Drosophila melanogaster: one gene and its partner. The protein of the gene in region 1 interacts with the protein of each later gene in a pairwise test. Each region holds a gene or a part of one and is shown on either strand. Other genes may lie near its edges.

Region 1 (7,570 bases):
CGAATCCATCGGCACGAACATCATCGGATTGGGAAAGGACATCGGCGTGGACATCCTCCGAACGGCCTAGGGAATGGGGCACCGGGGGGTTGGCCACCGCCAGGCCCAAAACTGCGCAGATCATGACCTGAAGGAGAAATAGGCATTCGTTAGGGATCGAGTATGTTGGTTCGTATCCTGCGGACACTTACAAACTTGAACATATTGGCTGACTTCTGTCTGGTCGAGAACGAACGTTGACTGATAACTGATTGTGGTCGGGCAGAGCCTTTTTATATGATTGCCACCCAAAGTGAACCCATATCAAAACGCTACATCTTGCATTCAATTGGTTCGCTGAGTTATGGGTTGACTTCGCGGATGCGCCCACACCCATTAAAAAGCATCGTCACATGCGACAGCTTAGCAAATGCCAAACAACGGGATAAGTACTATATATAATCGCTTAATAGATGCTAAAATGAAACAATCGCATCAATAAGGGGCAAACGGGTCGGGTGGCATCCCGAAATCGAAACGAGTTTGACCCGCCCCTTCATTAAATCCCCTCCTTTGAGCTTGACTTGGCATTGCCAGGCCGTGAACCACTTTTGTAGTCCCATCAAGACTCCATGGACTACAAAGCATCGCCGACTTCTTAGACTCGATGTTTTGTAATATATAAACGTGTGTCTCTACCTTGGCACCATTTCTTCTTTTTTTTATCAATTCCTCTCGACGAACAGGTTGCAGTTTGCTTTTAAACAAATTCAAGTGTGTTTTACATTATATTTCATATGCATAGCGCCTTATATTATTTTTTTATATTTCGTAAAATTAAATAAGATAATAAGACCTGTTCCATATAGGAGGCTACCGAAATACATAGTTTTTTAGTGACAATTAAAATTGTTAAGAAAACCTAATGTTAACCTAAAGAGGATATTTACTTGTCTGTATAGGCATATAAACTAAAAGTTTACTTAAAATTTATAATTCCTATAGATACATTTCATGGTATTTAAATGTGCAAGCCGAACATCTAATATAAGAGCTTGAATAGTTTGTTTTTCAGATCAGTTAGACCGCACAGTATCCTCACAAATTTGGTTTGAAAGTTAAGATTAATTTGTAATCAAACAGAATAGCCTCTTCTGAGATTTATGCTAGTGACTATCGCACCTTTAACAATCCAAGCTTCTAATATTAACTGTTGTGACGAAAATAGAGTTTTTATTCAACTAAGACAATACAATATCTAAAAGTTACTCGTTCGGGACGCTTTATGACATTATTTATTTGAGGTGCATTTGCAGACAGACAAACAACCAAACAAATTCCCAGTCTTATTTTAAAAAGAGAGAATGCTATACTCAGCTGGAAGTGTGACCGATATATTTCAATACTTTTTTGAATATCGGTAAAAATTTGGAAACAAATAATAATATGAAAAAAATTATTGAATTGTTCAAAACGTGTGGGCGTGGCAGTTTTAGGCCGTTTGTGGGCCTCTGGAATCTTCATATCTAATCTTAACTCTCTAGTTTTTGAAGTCGAGGCGTTCATACGGACATACTCTGCTATTGATCGCTTTTAAAAATATATATACTTTATATGGTGTGAAACGCCTCCTTCTACCTGTTACATAATTTTCCTAGTATTCCATTTTACTTTCGAGTAACGGGTATTATCATTTCAGTTTATCTTCGTATGTTTTTATCTCATTATCTTCTTAGATTATTTTACGGTTCAATCTCTTTACTTTTTATGCTGCCTTTCTATTGGTTATCACACAATATAATAAGACAACTACAGCAGATAGAAGTTGTCTTTGTACTCTCTGGTGCGCTTCGTCACTACGTGGAATGCCGTTCATGGTGATTCTTCTCTCTTTTTGAAACCATTTACTTATGTCGGGTAAAAAACTTTATTGAATAATATATAACATGTCGATGGAAAGTCGGTGGATGGGTCTGAGATCGGGGTGAAGAGTCTTGGTGATGGTGCGGATGCTCGGGTACCGGTCAGTGGAACGCCTTCGGGATTGGTGCAGGAGTCGGAATCAAGGCTGATCGAAGCCTGGTATCCGTTCTCACCAGCGTCGTACGTGACCTCGACGTGATCGCCCTCGGGGGTGATCCATTTTATAGTGCCCTGAAAAATACCATCGATATCTGCTTTGGCGGCCCGCTCGATTCCGTTGAATATGTGCAGACTGCTGGAATCGAATCCATCGGTATAAACATCGTATGATTGGTAGTGGACATCGGCGTTGTCACTTTCGAAACGTCCTACGGATGGGGGATGGGGGATGAGCCACTCAATCCAAAAACTGCACAGATCACCACGTGAACGAGAGCATAGACATTGAATACGTTCGTATCCTGCCGTTACTCACGAGCATGAACATTTTAGATTCCAATTTCTGTTTGCTCGAGAACGAACGTTGACTGATAACCACCAAAACTGAACCCAAGTCAATACGCTACATCTTTCATACGATTGGTGCTCTGAAATCTGGGTTGACTATGAAGATACCCCACACCCATTAAAAAGCATCGCATGGCAATCCACGGGATTAGTACTACGAGTATATACTAGGGTAATCGGCTCGTGTGGCATTGACCATTGCTTTTCTATTTCAATAAGTTTGTCCATTGGTATTGGCTTCTCTAATTGGCTTTTAAATACTACTTAAAATAAAAAAAAAATGCATTGAGACTTTTAGTGAGAATAAAATTGTATGCAAACATTTGCTTTTTTGTTTTTCAGATCTTTTAGACTGCCCAGATCCTTCTCAAATTTTAAAAGACAAAATTAATTTTTAATTCAGCACATCTTTTCTTTATGGACACATATACTCATTTTTGATAAATGGATTTAGTGAATCGAATATAAAAGGTAGAAGGAAGCATTCCCAGCGAAGGTAGAGGTATAAAAGCTCGTATTATTACAGGAACTACCTAAAAAGTGCAATGAAGAACACACACATTTTTACTGCTATAAGCAAGTGCATGTATTTTTTTGAAAGTCAAGAAGTACAGCTAAACAACTTGGGCGATTTGTTTCGGGAGAACAGTCCGTGGAGTGGTCCGGGATCCGGGTGACGAGTCCTAGTGATGACGGGGGTGCTCGGGTGCTGGGGGGTGAGACTCCAGCCAGGCAACGGCGCGGGCGATGGCCTCTGGGATTGGAGGAGGAGTGGGGATCCAGGCTCCCGAGGGCTGGTATCCGTTTTCATTCGCGACGTACTTTACCTCAACGTGCTCGCCCTCGGGTGAGATCCAGCCGAAGTTGCCGTGGATGTTGCCATGGGCATCACCGCTGGCGGCCTGCTCGATTCCGTTTGAGGTGTGCAGGCTGGAGTCGAATCCGTCGGCACGAACGTCGTCCGATCGGGAAAGGACATCAGCGTGTACATCATCGGAGCGGGAAACTGGGGCTAGGGCGGTAGCCACTCCCACAACGGCGAGAATCATCACCTGGATAGAGGAAATGATACCAATTAGATGGCGAGTTCATAAATGTCCTGTGAGCCACTCACAAACTTGAACATGTTGGCTGATTTCTGTCTGGTCGAGAACGAACGTTGACTGATAACTGACTTTGGTCGACAGAGTCTTTTTATATGATTCCCAATTTGGTTGCTTTCCAAACGAATTGCTTATTACTTTTTGGGCCAAATCTAAGTTATCACGAAACGCCCATGATGCCAACAAAAGGCAGGGCCCATAAATTCTCCACTTGACTCTGCGATACAAATGTCAAAAAACAAGTCTTGCGCTGCTGAACAGATTCCGAAATGAAACATGCTTCGGTAGAAATTTTGTAGGGGCGATGGAGTACGGTTTTCGGATTCTGTGCTCATCGATGACGTTTCGAGTTGACCAAGTCTTTATCAATCATGCCTGTACAAAATCAAAAAACCCAATACACTTCACTTGATAGCAGTCCCATCTATTTTAAAAGGTTCCGAAGTGGTAATAAACAATATACCGGAATAAACGATTTCGCAAGTGATACTGCATATTAACGTGCTAGTTGCCTATGACATTTTGTTGTATCTCAATATTTTGGATGTCACTGTTTAATTTAAAAAAACCCGCAAAGCTTTTGGCCAGAGTTGTCAACGTGCCACACACCAAATGAAACACCGAAAACTATGCTATGCTTAAGTTTAGTTCATATTGAAGTTGAATTTTAGAAAATTAAATATTGTACTGCTTAATAATTATTCTGGTTTCTGGTCCGGTTTGCTTTGCATTTCGGTTAGACTAGGGCGAATATTTCAGTTGAATAAATAACTAAGAATGCTCATCTCCTAATGAAAGTGGTTAAGCCATCTCAAGTCGACTAATTTGCATCCCAGACGGTTTTTATTATATGCATCACATTGACTTAATTATAATACGCACATTGCATCAGCTTTTGATGATATATAAACACCGATTTGAGCATAGATTGTCATCAGTCTTAGAAGATTTCTAGTCCGACAATCCACCCAAATCAAAATGTTCAAGATCGTAAGTATGCCTTGAGGAGCATAGTGACTTCGCAGTCTAATCCTGGATTATCCTAGCTGCTTGTCTGTTCTCTCGCCGCCCTGGTGGCCGCCAACGCTAATGTGGAGGTCAAGGAGCTGGTCAACGATGTCCAGCCCGATGGCTTTGTCAGCAAGTTGGTCCTCGACGACGGATCTGCCTCCTCCGCCACCGGAGACATCCACGGCAACATCGACGGAGTCTTCGAGTGGATCTCCCCCGAGGGTGTCCATGTGCGAGTGAGCTACAAGGCTGACGAGAACGGATACCAGCCCCAGAGTGACCTGCTGCCCACTCCTCCTCCGATCCCAGCTGCCATCCTGAAGGCTATCGCCTACATCGAGGCTAACCCCAGCAAGAACTAAGTGAACCCGCCGACTAGGAACATGAAAGATTGGAGACAGCTAGGTTGAGTTTGGATAATTTCTTACCAGTTGTTTTAAATTTAAGGAAAATGTTATCGAATTCGAAAATAAATTAAACCTTGCAATATAAACCAAGTGCATGTTTTACAAATCTGACAGTTCGATTTAAGAGAAGGCTCCCGGTATTATATGGTATAAGAAGGTACAATTAGAAGATTAAAAGTAATCAAAGACACTTTGGCCTTCATTAAATTACAATTGTGTTGTTATAGTATAGTACGAAATTAATTTAAATACAAAAATCTTTAAAGCATCTAAAATAAATGTAAACATTACAAAAATCTTACCTGGACAAGCCGATATCTCCTTGCATTAATTTCATATTTCCGAAAACTGGGTTATAACTAGTTATTATTTTAAGTTAAGTTCATAGGCAGCCACAAGTAATTAAATGTTGCCAACCTGATGCATCCCAGATAAGATCGCAGTATGATGAAAACGACGAGGAACTTTTTTATATCTATTATTTGTAGAGGATAAGGGTACACTTGAATTGTTAGAACGCATGTCGGTATTATGGGTATTAAGGGTATTATGAAGCGTTTTCGAACCTAAAAAGTATGTATATTCATCATCATTATCACTAGCCGAGTCGAATTTTTGTTTTTATATTGGTCTTTTTATGAATATAACTGAAATTGGCATTATAAGCCTAGATGTAAAAATCAAATTCTTCATCTTTTTTTTAACCTTTTTTAAATAGTCATACACGTAACAAAAAATAACACAGACTTCCCTGAGGTTACACGGTTATAAGATCTTGTAGTGATTTTTGGAGAAATATCAATCAAATTGCTGTGCTTTCGGATTTTTGATTATATTATGATATTGTAACTTAAGTGTTTAATAGTGATTGTATAAGTAAGAATCGTATACATTGTATATGTCAAACTCCACGGGAATGTTCATATTGACTTAACGGAAACTAGAGATAAAATATACACACAATGTTTTTTTTTATTAAACGAAATTATTTACAATAATTTAATTGACTAGCAATAGTACGCTCTTCTTAGGCAACCCAATCTTATCGGTATCAATTTAAACTATTCTTAATATCTATGTTATTTACAAAGGTTATATGAGTAAGAGTTTTTGAGGAATAGAATGTTTATGCAGATTTTAATTTAGTAGGATTTATGTCAAGTCCCGGTCAGTCAAGTCTTGAGGGTGGTGAACACAGAATGTTAGATTCCATAAACCCGTTCCCAGTCATTTCGCAGATAGAAACCAAATGATGCTCCGAAAGGTATGCTGGATCTACAAGCGGTTCGCAAAAAAGTTTTGTTTTCTAGTTATTTTTCACCTCCTAATAATTAAACTTCTACTATCAGCAGCTTAGACATTATTCAATCAAGTTATTTTTATATGATTTGTCTGGAGTAATTCAAAGTTATCTGACTAAATATTCCGGAAGATGTTAAATTATTTCAATGAGAAGGTGGACTTACCCTTTTCCGAGTAACCCGATTCTTTTTAGAATAATTACGGTAGCGATTTGCATAGACAATAGAAATCAAAAAGAGTGCAGCAGACGATTTTTATCGCCACCAAGCATGTCACTTGAACCAGTCCGTAAAACCAAACGAGACCTATGCTGGCCGAAATGTTAATTAAAAACGGGTTGCATCAGCTTTTGATCAGCTTTAAGATTTCGTGGGGAGTGCGTATAAGCGTATAAAAGCCGACGAGTGATCCCGAATTGGCATCAGTCTCACGAGTTCTTTAGTCTGACAATCTAACCAAGTCAAAATGTTCAAGATCGTAAGTATCTGAAGTTTAAAGCCGGACAGTTCAATGAGTAATCCCGGAATATCCTAGCTGCTTGTCTGCGCCCTTGTCGCCCTGGTGGCCGCCAACGAGAATCCCGAGGTCAAGGAGCTGGTCAACGATGTCCAAGCCGATGGCTTCGTAAGCAAGTTGGTCCTGGACAACGGTTCCGCTGCTTCTGCTACCGGAGATGTCCACGGAAACATCGACGGAGTTTTCGAGTGGGTCTCCCCCGAGGGCGAACACGTCCGTGTGAGCTACAAGGCCGACGAGAACGGATACCAGCCCCAGAGCGACCTCCTGCCCACTCCTCCTCCAATCCCAGAGGCCATCCTGAAGGCCATCGCCTACATCCAGGCCCATCCCAGCAAGGAATAAGCAATCGACACGACCAGGACCCACATTCGAATCGGAGGTGCAACTCCAAAGACCTTGCCCTCTAACCCTTAGAATTTAAACAGCATGCAGACATTATAAATGATTATCGAGTTAGGAAATAAATTCGATACTCTTTGGCAACAAATCTATTTAGATATGGTCTTAATTTCCCTGACGGCAGCAGGAGTTACCTTGTTTATGGCTGATTTATTTTGGCCGAGGGAACAAACGCTGCTTCAGATTATCACGAACTGTCTGGATGTTACGTGATTGATCTTAGCCAATAGTAACCTGTTTAATTAGCGATACATAAAGTGAAGACCATCAAACCAGATTTAGGTATAAATTCGGTCTGTTTATTACAGTTTTAAATGCAATAAAATATTTCATTAAACAAAAGTCATGGCTGAGCAAAATATAACCGGATTGGAATTGCTTGCGTTTACTCTTCATCTTCATATTGTTAAAAGAACAGTA
Region 2 (9,134 bases), 3.1 Mb from region 1:
GAGAACTTAAAATTTCATTTATCTTCGCGAAGGCAGATGTAAACGGTGACCCTGATGCAACAACACTCCTGGAAAGGATTGAGCTGCGAGTATTTGTCCCTATTCCAAGAGAAACGCAAGTGTCGCGTCGTAGTTTTGCTTAAGGAGGACAACATTCCACCGTTGAGATGTCATTTTGAGCGCATCCAGGAAGTCATATCCGGCGGGGACAGCGTCATCAGAGTAGCTATCAAGAGAGCCGTCGTCCAACCAGTTGCCCCATCGATTTCGATATAGTTGGAACCGTACCTCTAACAACGAGCAGTCATGCGCTTATATTGTATGTATGTGTGACACCTCCTGCAGCGCTCTTCGGGTAACTATTTTCGCCCTTATTTCTACTCTGGCTAAAAATGTTGGGTTATCTATTCAGCTATTCGAAATCGCTACAGAAGCCTCGTCTGTTCATTTCTTTAAAATAGCTAATAAAAAGGCTTCTTAGCTCAACATACATGATACAAAATTTTCAACAAATTTAGTATGCCGACTTCCCCAACTATCATATACCCGTTACTCAGCTAGTTGAAATTGCGGCAGTTTTGGGCGGCTTAAGGCGTTAGAGTGGGTGTCTCAAAAATTTTTTGGCAGATAGATAGAACTTTACAAGACTAAAAATGTTATGAAAATATATCCAAAAATTATTCAAAAATGTGGGCGTGGCACTTTTGCTCGGTTTTAGGGCGTTCGAGTGGGAGTGGAAAATAGTGTTTTGGCAAATCGATAGAAATTTACAAGACTAATAAAATTATAACAAAATATCCAACAAATTTTCAGTCTTGGGCGGTTTTAAAGCCTTAGAGTCGGCATGACAAATCAATAGAAATTTACAAGACTAACAAAATTATAAAAAAATATCTAAAATTTTGAAAAATTGTGCGAGTGGCAGTTTTAGGGCTTTAGAGTGTGCGAGGCAACAATTTTTTTTTGCAAATCGATAGAAATTTACAATATTAATAATAATGTAAAAAAAATCAACACGTGTTTTTAAAAGTGTGTGTGCGCCTTTGTCCCTAGAATCTGTATGCTGAATCTTAACCTAGCTTTCAATCTAGCTTTCATAGTTCCTGAGATCTCGACGTTCATACGGACTCGGCTATTGGTCCCTGATCAAGAATATAAATACTTCATATGGTCGGAAACGCTCCCTTCTGTCTGTTATTTTTTAAAGAATATTTACGAATATAACAAATATTCAAGAATAACGAATTTTTTAATATTAACATTAGCAGTATAATTTTAAATAATTCAAATACTGTAAGCATATATAATTTCCAAATGAAAAATTCTTAAGCCTCAATGCATTTTCATATATAATTATACAACTGCTTATACTTACCTGCGATTTTCGAGAACGGTGCAACGTCGTGGTCGGATGGGACTTTAACGTGTGGGCCGCTCTAGTGTGGTCGCCACACACAACTCCCAAGGGCAAATTAAATCTCGAAACATTCGCTAGGCTGGACGTTCAACAGTGCCGTTGCAGGATTAATTATCGACCTCACGTTCATAAGCAGTCCATTCGCTCGCTTCTCCTGTTGGGGTATCAAGGAGGTGGTCACAGTCAGTGACCACGAGGCGATCCAGGTCGAAATAGGCACAAAGGCAATCGAGAGCAGGGCTAACACGCAGTAACCTAAGGCCTACCGACAGAACACCATGAGTCTAGAAGAGTCCGCCGGCATTCTCCATTACCTGACGGTCAACGAGGCGAACTTGTGATCGCAGCAGCGGATAAAATAGTAGCGAGGGTGGAGGAGGCCTGCGGCCAAAGCATGCGAATGAGGAAAACGAACCGAAGGCACCACACCCTGGTTTTCTGGTGGAGCGAGGATATTGCCTTGCAGCGCATCATCAGCCTACGCGCAACGAGACTCGTACAAAGAGCTCGTGGCACCACGCGTCTGGAAGCATGCCATACGGAATACAAGGTCACAAAGAATTCACCGAAGAAAACGATTAGAGCCAGCAATCGTGAATGCTTTCTGAAAGTCTGCGTCGCAGCAGAAAGCGATCCATCTGCTCTGGAAAACATCTTTAACGTTCTGTTCCTGTTCGGTCTGCCATTCCCAATTCCCAGATCGGGCCAAGCGGAGACGAATTGCGGCCTGTCACGGAGCCCGAGATCCTAGCGGCTGAGAGGAGTCTTAAAACCAAAACGGTACCACACCCGATCGCATCCCAAGCAAACTACGAGAAACAGTGCTATGTTTGTTACCGCCTAAATTTGAAGGTTTTTTTTTTGTTTTACCAATTATTTTTAAAATATCCATGAGATCTGTTACTAATTTTTTTATTTCGATTGAAAATCATTGTAGTATTTAAGTTTAGTGAGTAAAATAATGAGAAAGTGTCAGAAAATAGAGAAAAGCTGGGACAAACACGAAATGTGCTTATGATGCTATTATTGTTACCGCAACTGTAATAAAGAGAGTTTCTTGACAGTCTTAAAAGCGTGTAAACTTGGAATTTGTTGTTTATTTTCTTGTATATTTAATATTTTTAATTTGTTTTTTGATTTATAAGTAAAATAAATATTGTTTGATTATATTTTATAAAAAAAATTGCGTTTAATTAAGCAAAAAACCCTTTATTTTTAGCTTTAAAGTCAAAAATTCAACTTATTTTACAGTGTGTAAACAGTTTCTTGACAAACTGTATGTGATATGTGATTCTAGAGACATAGGCGCCGCGCAAGTTTGTTAACCCATGTTGCCATGTGCAATCCAACGCACACATACCGGACAAAACTGCCACGTCTACACTTATGTAAAATGTTTTATTATTCTTTCATATTTTTATTTTCTTTTAAATTTCTATGAATTTGCCAGAAAACATTTTGCCATGACCACTCTAACGCTAACAATTTCAAAATGTTTTGAAATTTTTTGATTTTTGTATACAATTTCTATTAATTCGCGGCCACGGCCCTTCTTACACCTTCCAAACCGGTCAAGACCGAACTTTTGATCAATTTGAAACAATTTTGTTCTTATTTTATATCCCAGTATTTAACGATATCCCAGAAAAATGATGAATGAATTTCGTGTTCCCATTTTCACGAGCTGACTAACGGTTATCTGATTGACTCGACAATACCATTCTCTCTTCATTTGAAATTATATGTGGTATATCATTGGTATAACATTGATATTATGTTAATATGGTTTTTGCCGCCGTAAGAATAGGGTATAAGCTATTAAGTTGCTGTTCACAGTGTTCAATATTTGAGTATGTAAATATTTGATTTTCTCTTGTAAATCGTATTAACAGCTGAGTGGATGTTTGAAAATAATTAAATCAGGTTGCTTTTATAACTTAATGCAATTCATATTGATATTTTACTGATATTCTCTTTCTTAAAGGTTTAATCATGTAAACAACATCACAGTGTCTTTACTTAAGGGTGGCTTATTGATTTTAGACACATGTTATCAACGTTGGATTTTAATGCATGTTGAACAAACACGAATAAATATGCAGTCTCAAGGACAGAGCCATCAACTGCCGTCCGCGGCCCATATATTATTAGATCAAAATCCGAATTCAACAGGCAGTAACCTAGTCGTAAAACAAAATGACATTCAATCTCTTTCATCAGTCGGTAAGAAATAACCATACATTTATATATGTATGTACATACGTTTGTAATTGATTTTTTTAAAGAATACATCTAGTTAAATACTTTATACATTAATGCAAATGAATAAGTTTGACAGCGAAGACAACCACAATTAAATTAAGAAAAATCAATAAATCAAACAATTGGTTATGCCTGGCCCGAGATAGATATGTGTCTAATGTGTCTCATATTAACAACATATTAAGAGATGCATATGGTGTACGCATCTAAAAATTCACACAACATAAAAATCAGTGTTCAGTGTCTGAGCTTATTTCGTGTAGTTAAATTAATTTTTATGTTGGCATTGCTTCGATGAAAGATACCAGAAAAATGTAAACGCAATATTTTTGAAAGAATTATTGACATGGTTAAAAAACAGACGATTTCCGTATTCTAAATGTGCATCCCTCATTAAAGCCGTATCTTGTAAGGGGTATCTGGTAGTCGAGAAACTCGTCTATAATGTTATCTCTCACTCCATCTAAAATTAAATTTTTTATTGTAATTTTTTTTTTTTCTGGCTTAAAGCTTACTTTGCACTTAAATTTTTTTTCGTTCTGCTGTAGCTTGCACGTTTTTCCTTTTTTAAATTTTTGACAACATATATTACATATATGTACATATATTATTTGGTATTCATTGAAAAGTTCTTCGGTGCTTTTCGGCCTTCATTCAATACAGTATTTTCTTTTAGGGAGAAGCTTCCGCTTCTCCGCGAAGTTGGATCAATCTCGGATATTAAAATTAAAAAATTGTTAGGTTTAAAATGGCCATTTATTGAATATTAACATACTGCACAAAATAAGCTGCGGCATAAAAAACACCTTTTTGTTTTCTAAAACGATTAGAAAATTGCTTTTTTTTTATATAACAAATTTAAGAATCCGGTGCTGAAATACCTTATTGGTTTGAAACCTCTAAACTGTACGAACAAACTACAGCAGACAACTTCGGATGTGTCCTTTGAAATTTCAAGGGTTCGTTACCCTGCATATCCGTTGGTTAATCTGCACCAATTGAAGTGCTTAACACTAGTCTAATTTGTTTAAACTGTATTATTTCTAGAATATCATTGACTGCGTAGTGAGAGATCTTGAAAACTCATTGACTCGGCCCATTTTAGGGTAGTCCTGAATCTGGATGTGTATGATCTATACCTGTATTTCAATCTGCATACATATGCATGTGTCTGCAGTTCTCAGTGTGTGTCTCAATCATCTTTCCTTGCTGTACCTGAGGAATTATCTCTTGAGCATAGTATCTAGTTGCCTTCTCTAAAGTATGAAGCTTATACAGATTACTTCCTCTGATAATTGCACGAAATAATATTCAGTGTGAAGAAGGAAGTTTAAAAATAAGTTTTGTTTTCATTTTATTATTTGCCTTGCTATGTTTTATTGATTTAAAAATCTGTTGCGGAACTCGACCAAAGGGTACGGCCAAAGACACCAGAATAACAAGATGCGTAACGCCATTCGATGTGGCTCTAGAGCACTATGGGGCATTTGGCCTGTTTTTTTTACAATAATGTGTTTTTCACAAGTATGCAAATTTGAAGTATTTTAGTATTAATACATTGGAAATACGTTAAACTGTTATGATACAGCCCGCAAAAGTTAATTTTACAATGCACCGTTATAATAACAGCTGTTAAAGTCGGCTGTTGCGAGCATATATCACGTGGCTGCTTTGCGCGCAAAATTTAGCTTAACTTTCAAAGTGTTAAAATTTAAAAAGAAGAAGAAGGAGAGTATAATTTGAAATAGATAATCAATCTTTAGGTTTTTATTATGTGTTGTTATTAATATATTGTTTATTGTGTGCGCCTATTTCTAACAATTTGTACATTTAGCAAGTGGTGTCAACATGTAGTTGTTTGAAAAAATTTTAAACTTTGAATAGAGCTACAACAATTTGTTCAAATTTGTTCAGTAAGTGTTTATATCCATGTTGTAGTGTGTTCAATTTCTAACTCATATCAGGTAGTCTCTATGTGCGTTTTTTGCGGTTTCTTGAGAAATTTCATTTTTTAGGGAGCAATATCTCGATTTCCAATGCTGCCCTGCTGGAAGTGTGGCGCAAGCAAAAGGTTGTTCGTCAAAAGGAAAATTCTATTTGCACTTTTATCAGTGGGCATATTTCTGATAGCAAGCTAGACTTTAATGAACGATTAACGAATAATATTAATAACGAATGATTTCAGTCAATCTTTTGCGAAATTGGAGAAAATGCAATCGAAAAATAAATGAATTTTTGAAAGTTTTTCAAATTGGTTAGAAGAACACCTAGTCCTGAAGGTAAAGGAGAAAAATAAAAAGGAAAGGAAATTAGCTGGACTCCCGAAAACGTCATATTATTTAAAAAATTTGAGTGGCCGAAGACAGCAAGCAGATGAACTCGTAAGGGCGCAGAATCACAACGAATGTCTTTTGGTTCAAGCTGTACGGAAGTGCTGCCTGCGGGATCTTGCAGCCATACTTAAAATTCTTTTGTTGAACCCAGCCAAAGCAAAAACTATTAGTAGCTTCGCAGATGTCTTTTACAGAGCAATGGATACTACGGATCCCATAATATCATCAATAAATTTAAAGAGGCGAAAACATAAGCGACTATCTCTTCCACCAGAAGTCATTCAAATGTTAGCTTGCGAATTTGAACCTGATAAAAATTCTTCAGACTCTGCCGATTGTGAAGAGGAAGACGGTTATGAATTATACAATATTGAAATTAAAAATAAACTTTAAAAATATATTATTAAAAAAAATTATAATATAATATATTAAAAAAAAAAAAAATTGGGGCGGAGTTGGGGCACGGCCACTTTTTCAAAATATTCCTGGAGGCATGTGTAACGCATAAAAAAAAATTCATCCAAATATCTCCAATAGTTTAGGAGGTATTAATTTTTGTAAAAAAAAACAGGCCAAATGCCCCATAGTGTAGAGGTGGCTCCAGGCTCTCTCGAATTTTAGTTCGAGAGCAAAAGAGCTCTTTTCTACGCATACAGTGATAGCAGACAACTGTATGTGTGCACACGTATGCTCATGCATTGTAAATTTGACAAAATATGCCCTTCACCTTAGAAGTTCATAGATATTATCTATCTATATTATAGATCTATATTATTTTTATATATATATTATTTTTGATCTATATATCTATATTATTTTTGATCAATTGGCATCATGCGGAAAATTCTTGTTTTGCTTGCCTTAACGTCATTATTATTTAAATATAGCTTAGAAATAGTTATAGCCGAATCATAATGTCACAAAATAAATTTCAAAAATGACTATATTAGAATATTTGTCATTAGAGTATTCAGCTTGCGACGTGTGAAAAATTAATAAGGCATTGTTGAGTGCTTGTGTAAGCAATTTAATGTCTTCTTTTTGGAAAATTTATGTTTTAAATTACAGTAGTTATCATACTTCCTTTGCATTTGCCTTAATTATTTAGTATATTTATTAAGTCCTTCGACTTAATATGATTTATGTAAATGATCGATTTATATTATTTAAAATGCACATTAGATTCAGTTGTTTAGTTGCAGTTTTTTTTGTTTTATTCCAATTTGATATTTTTAAACAGCGCGCAATTTCATCATATTGCTACGAAATTGGCCAAAACTCCCCAAATATGTAAATTCGTTTCTTTGATCAGAATTGATTTCGGCCCGAAAATCGTCTTCTAGCACAACACGCACACATATACGCGTTCTCGTCTCTTGTTTTAACTCTCACAAACAAGCAAATTCTATTTTCAGATTGCTTACGCTCTCATCGTAAGCGAGCGGACAGAGAGCAATTTTGGCCGTCACCAAATTAGGTTCTCCGTTAGTTTATGTGTACATAAGAGCTCAACATCAAAATCAAAAATGTTAAAAAATCAAAAATTTGACCTTTTCAATTTTTTCTAATTAAATTTTTTTACCAAATATTATAAAAAAACATTTGCCCAACCAATATTTGTTTTTGTCGTTTGTCCGCCTTTAAAAAACTTTAAATTTTTTTTTTCGTTTGCCTCGCTTGAATATAACTTATTTCGTAAGCCCACCTCTTAGAAATAAATATTTCGTTTGCCCACTGTTAAAAATAATTTATTTCTTTAAAATTAGTTTTAATCGTTTGACCATCCTTTAAAATTAGTGTCTATCGTTTTCCCATCCTTGCAAATTAGTTTTTATCGTTTGTCCATCCTTTAAAATTAGTTACCTAGTAACTAGGTACAGGCTTAAAAAATCAAAATCCAAACTTTGTAAAAAAACGTAGGATCTTAAACTGTATTTCATCTTATCGAGACGTGCATTGAAGATCTAAATCCTCCTAATAATCTAAATTCCTGTGCGTCACCAGGTTAGTGCTCCTTGAGCAAAAATTTTTCATGTGAGATATTAAGAAAACTGTTCAAGCGAAAGCTTTGAAAATTTGTTTCCCTTAAAAGTTGAACAATTCTATAAATGTAAAATTTGTTGTTTTTAGATTTTTATTTAAATAAAAAAGAAAGACAATCCATAATGGGTATGGGTAAGTGAAAATTGGCTCATCAGGATAGCGCCCCCTACAATAATTTAAGTTTTTCGATTCAGTTCAAAAAAAATTAGTTGATTAGCACTTAAATATTTAAATTAGAATATTTTTAAAGGAAATTAATAATTATTTGATCCTTCTTTGTTTCTCGTCCCAGAGTACAACATAATGCCACTCGTTAGACTAGGTCATATGAGCTCCGGCAAAACTTAGTCGTGATTTTTTTCGCAACTTTCTATATTTTTTCGGTTTTTCGTGTTTTAAATGTTTAGCTTTCTTAATCACCCTAATTTTTTTCTCGAATTTGGCCGGAGCAGTTGTGGGAATTGGTATTTGACATGTGGACCTGCGATCTGCCGCGTTAAAGACACTGTTATTGCCACCTTTATAGTGTTTTCTATAAGTTTAATTGTTTTTAATAAAATTGGCTATAGTTTTGCGATGTATGCGCTTTTTTTCTGCAATTTTACGAAAAGAAAGCTATGATAGAAAGCTATGATTTCAGATTTTTCTTCTCTTTTTTCGCAAAATGAAAGCAAACTTTTCAATTTAACAGCATAAATAATTTTGTTGTCTCACCTTTCAAATTATGGAAAATATTCAAAACTGCATTGGGGGCGCTAATCTCATGATGCAATATACGTGCCCAATTTTTCGCCGAAAGGAAAACAAAGCAGAATTAAAAAGATAGCTGTTCTTCTTTTATCCTCAAAGAGAGAGGGAATATCAGTGAACAAAAAACAATAACGTCGATAGATTTAAGAAACGGCGCAGGGGGCGCTAATCCGGTTACCCGCAGTGTATGAAGCATTTTTAATTTAAACAATATCTAAAAACAAATTTACAGGGTTATCACATTTAAAAAGATTGGTACATAGCAAATTTACAAAAGAATAATTCAGTAAAACAAGAAATATATAAAGAAAAACAAGGGAAACCCGTCG

Evidence for each region.
Region 2: the proteins of Lcp2 (region 1) and sxc interact in a two-hybrid assay, tested with the Drosophila melanogaster proteins (one large-scale study listed by BioGRID).

What each region holds. Positions count from the first base shown.
Region 1 is NT_033778.4:8,430,999-8,438,568, forward strand, and holds Lcp2 (larval cuticle protein 2), read right to left. Parts: upstream 3,788-7,570; 5' UTR 3,536-3,787; coding exon 3,524-3,535; intron 3,462-3,523; coding exon 3,093-3,461; 3' UTR 2,799-3,092; downstream 1-2,798. Other genes in the region: Lcp1 (larval cuticle protein 1), read right to left, coding at 1-127, 192-203; Lcp3 (larval cuticle protein 3), read left to right, coding at 4,491-4,502, 4,559-4,885; Lcp4 (larval cuticle protein 4), read left to right, coding at 6,698-6,709, 6,767-7,093. UniProt on the Drosophila melanogaster protein: Component of the larval cuticle.
Region 2 is NT_033778.4:5,304,013-5,313,146, forward strand, and holds the start of sxc (super sex combs), read left to right. Parts: upstream 1-3,275; 5' UTR 3,276-3,486; coding exon 3,487-3,640; intron 3,641-9,134.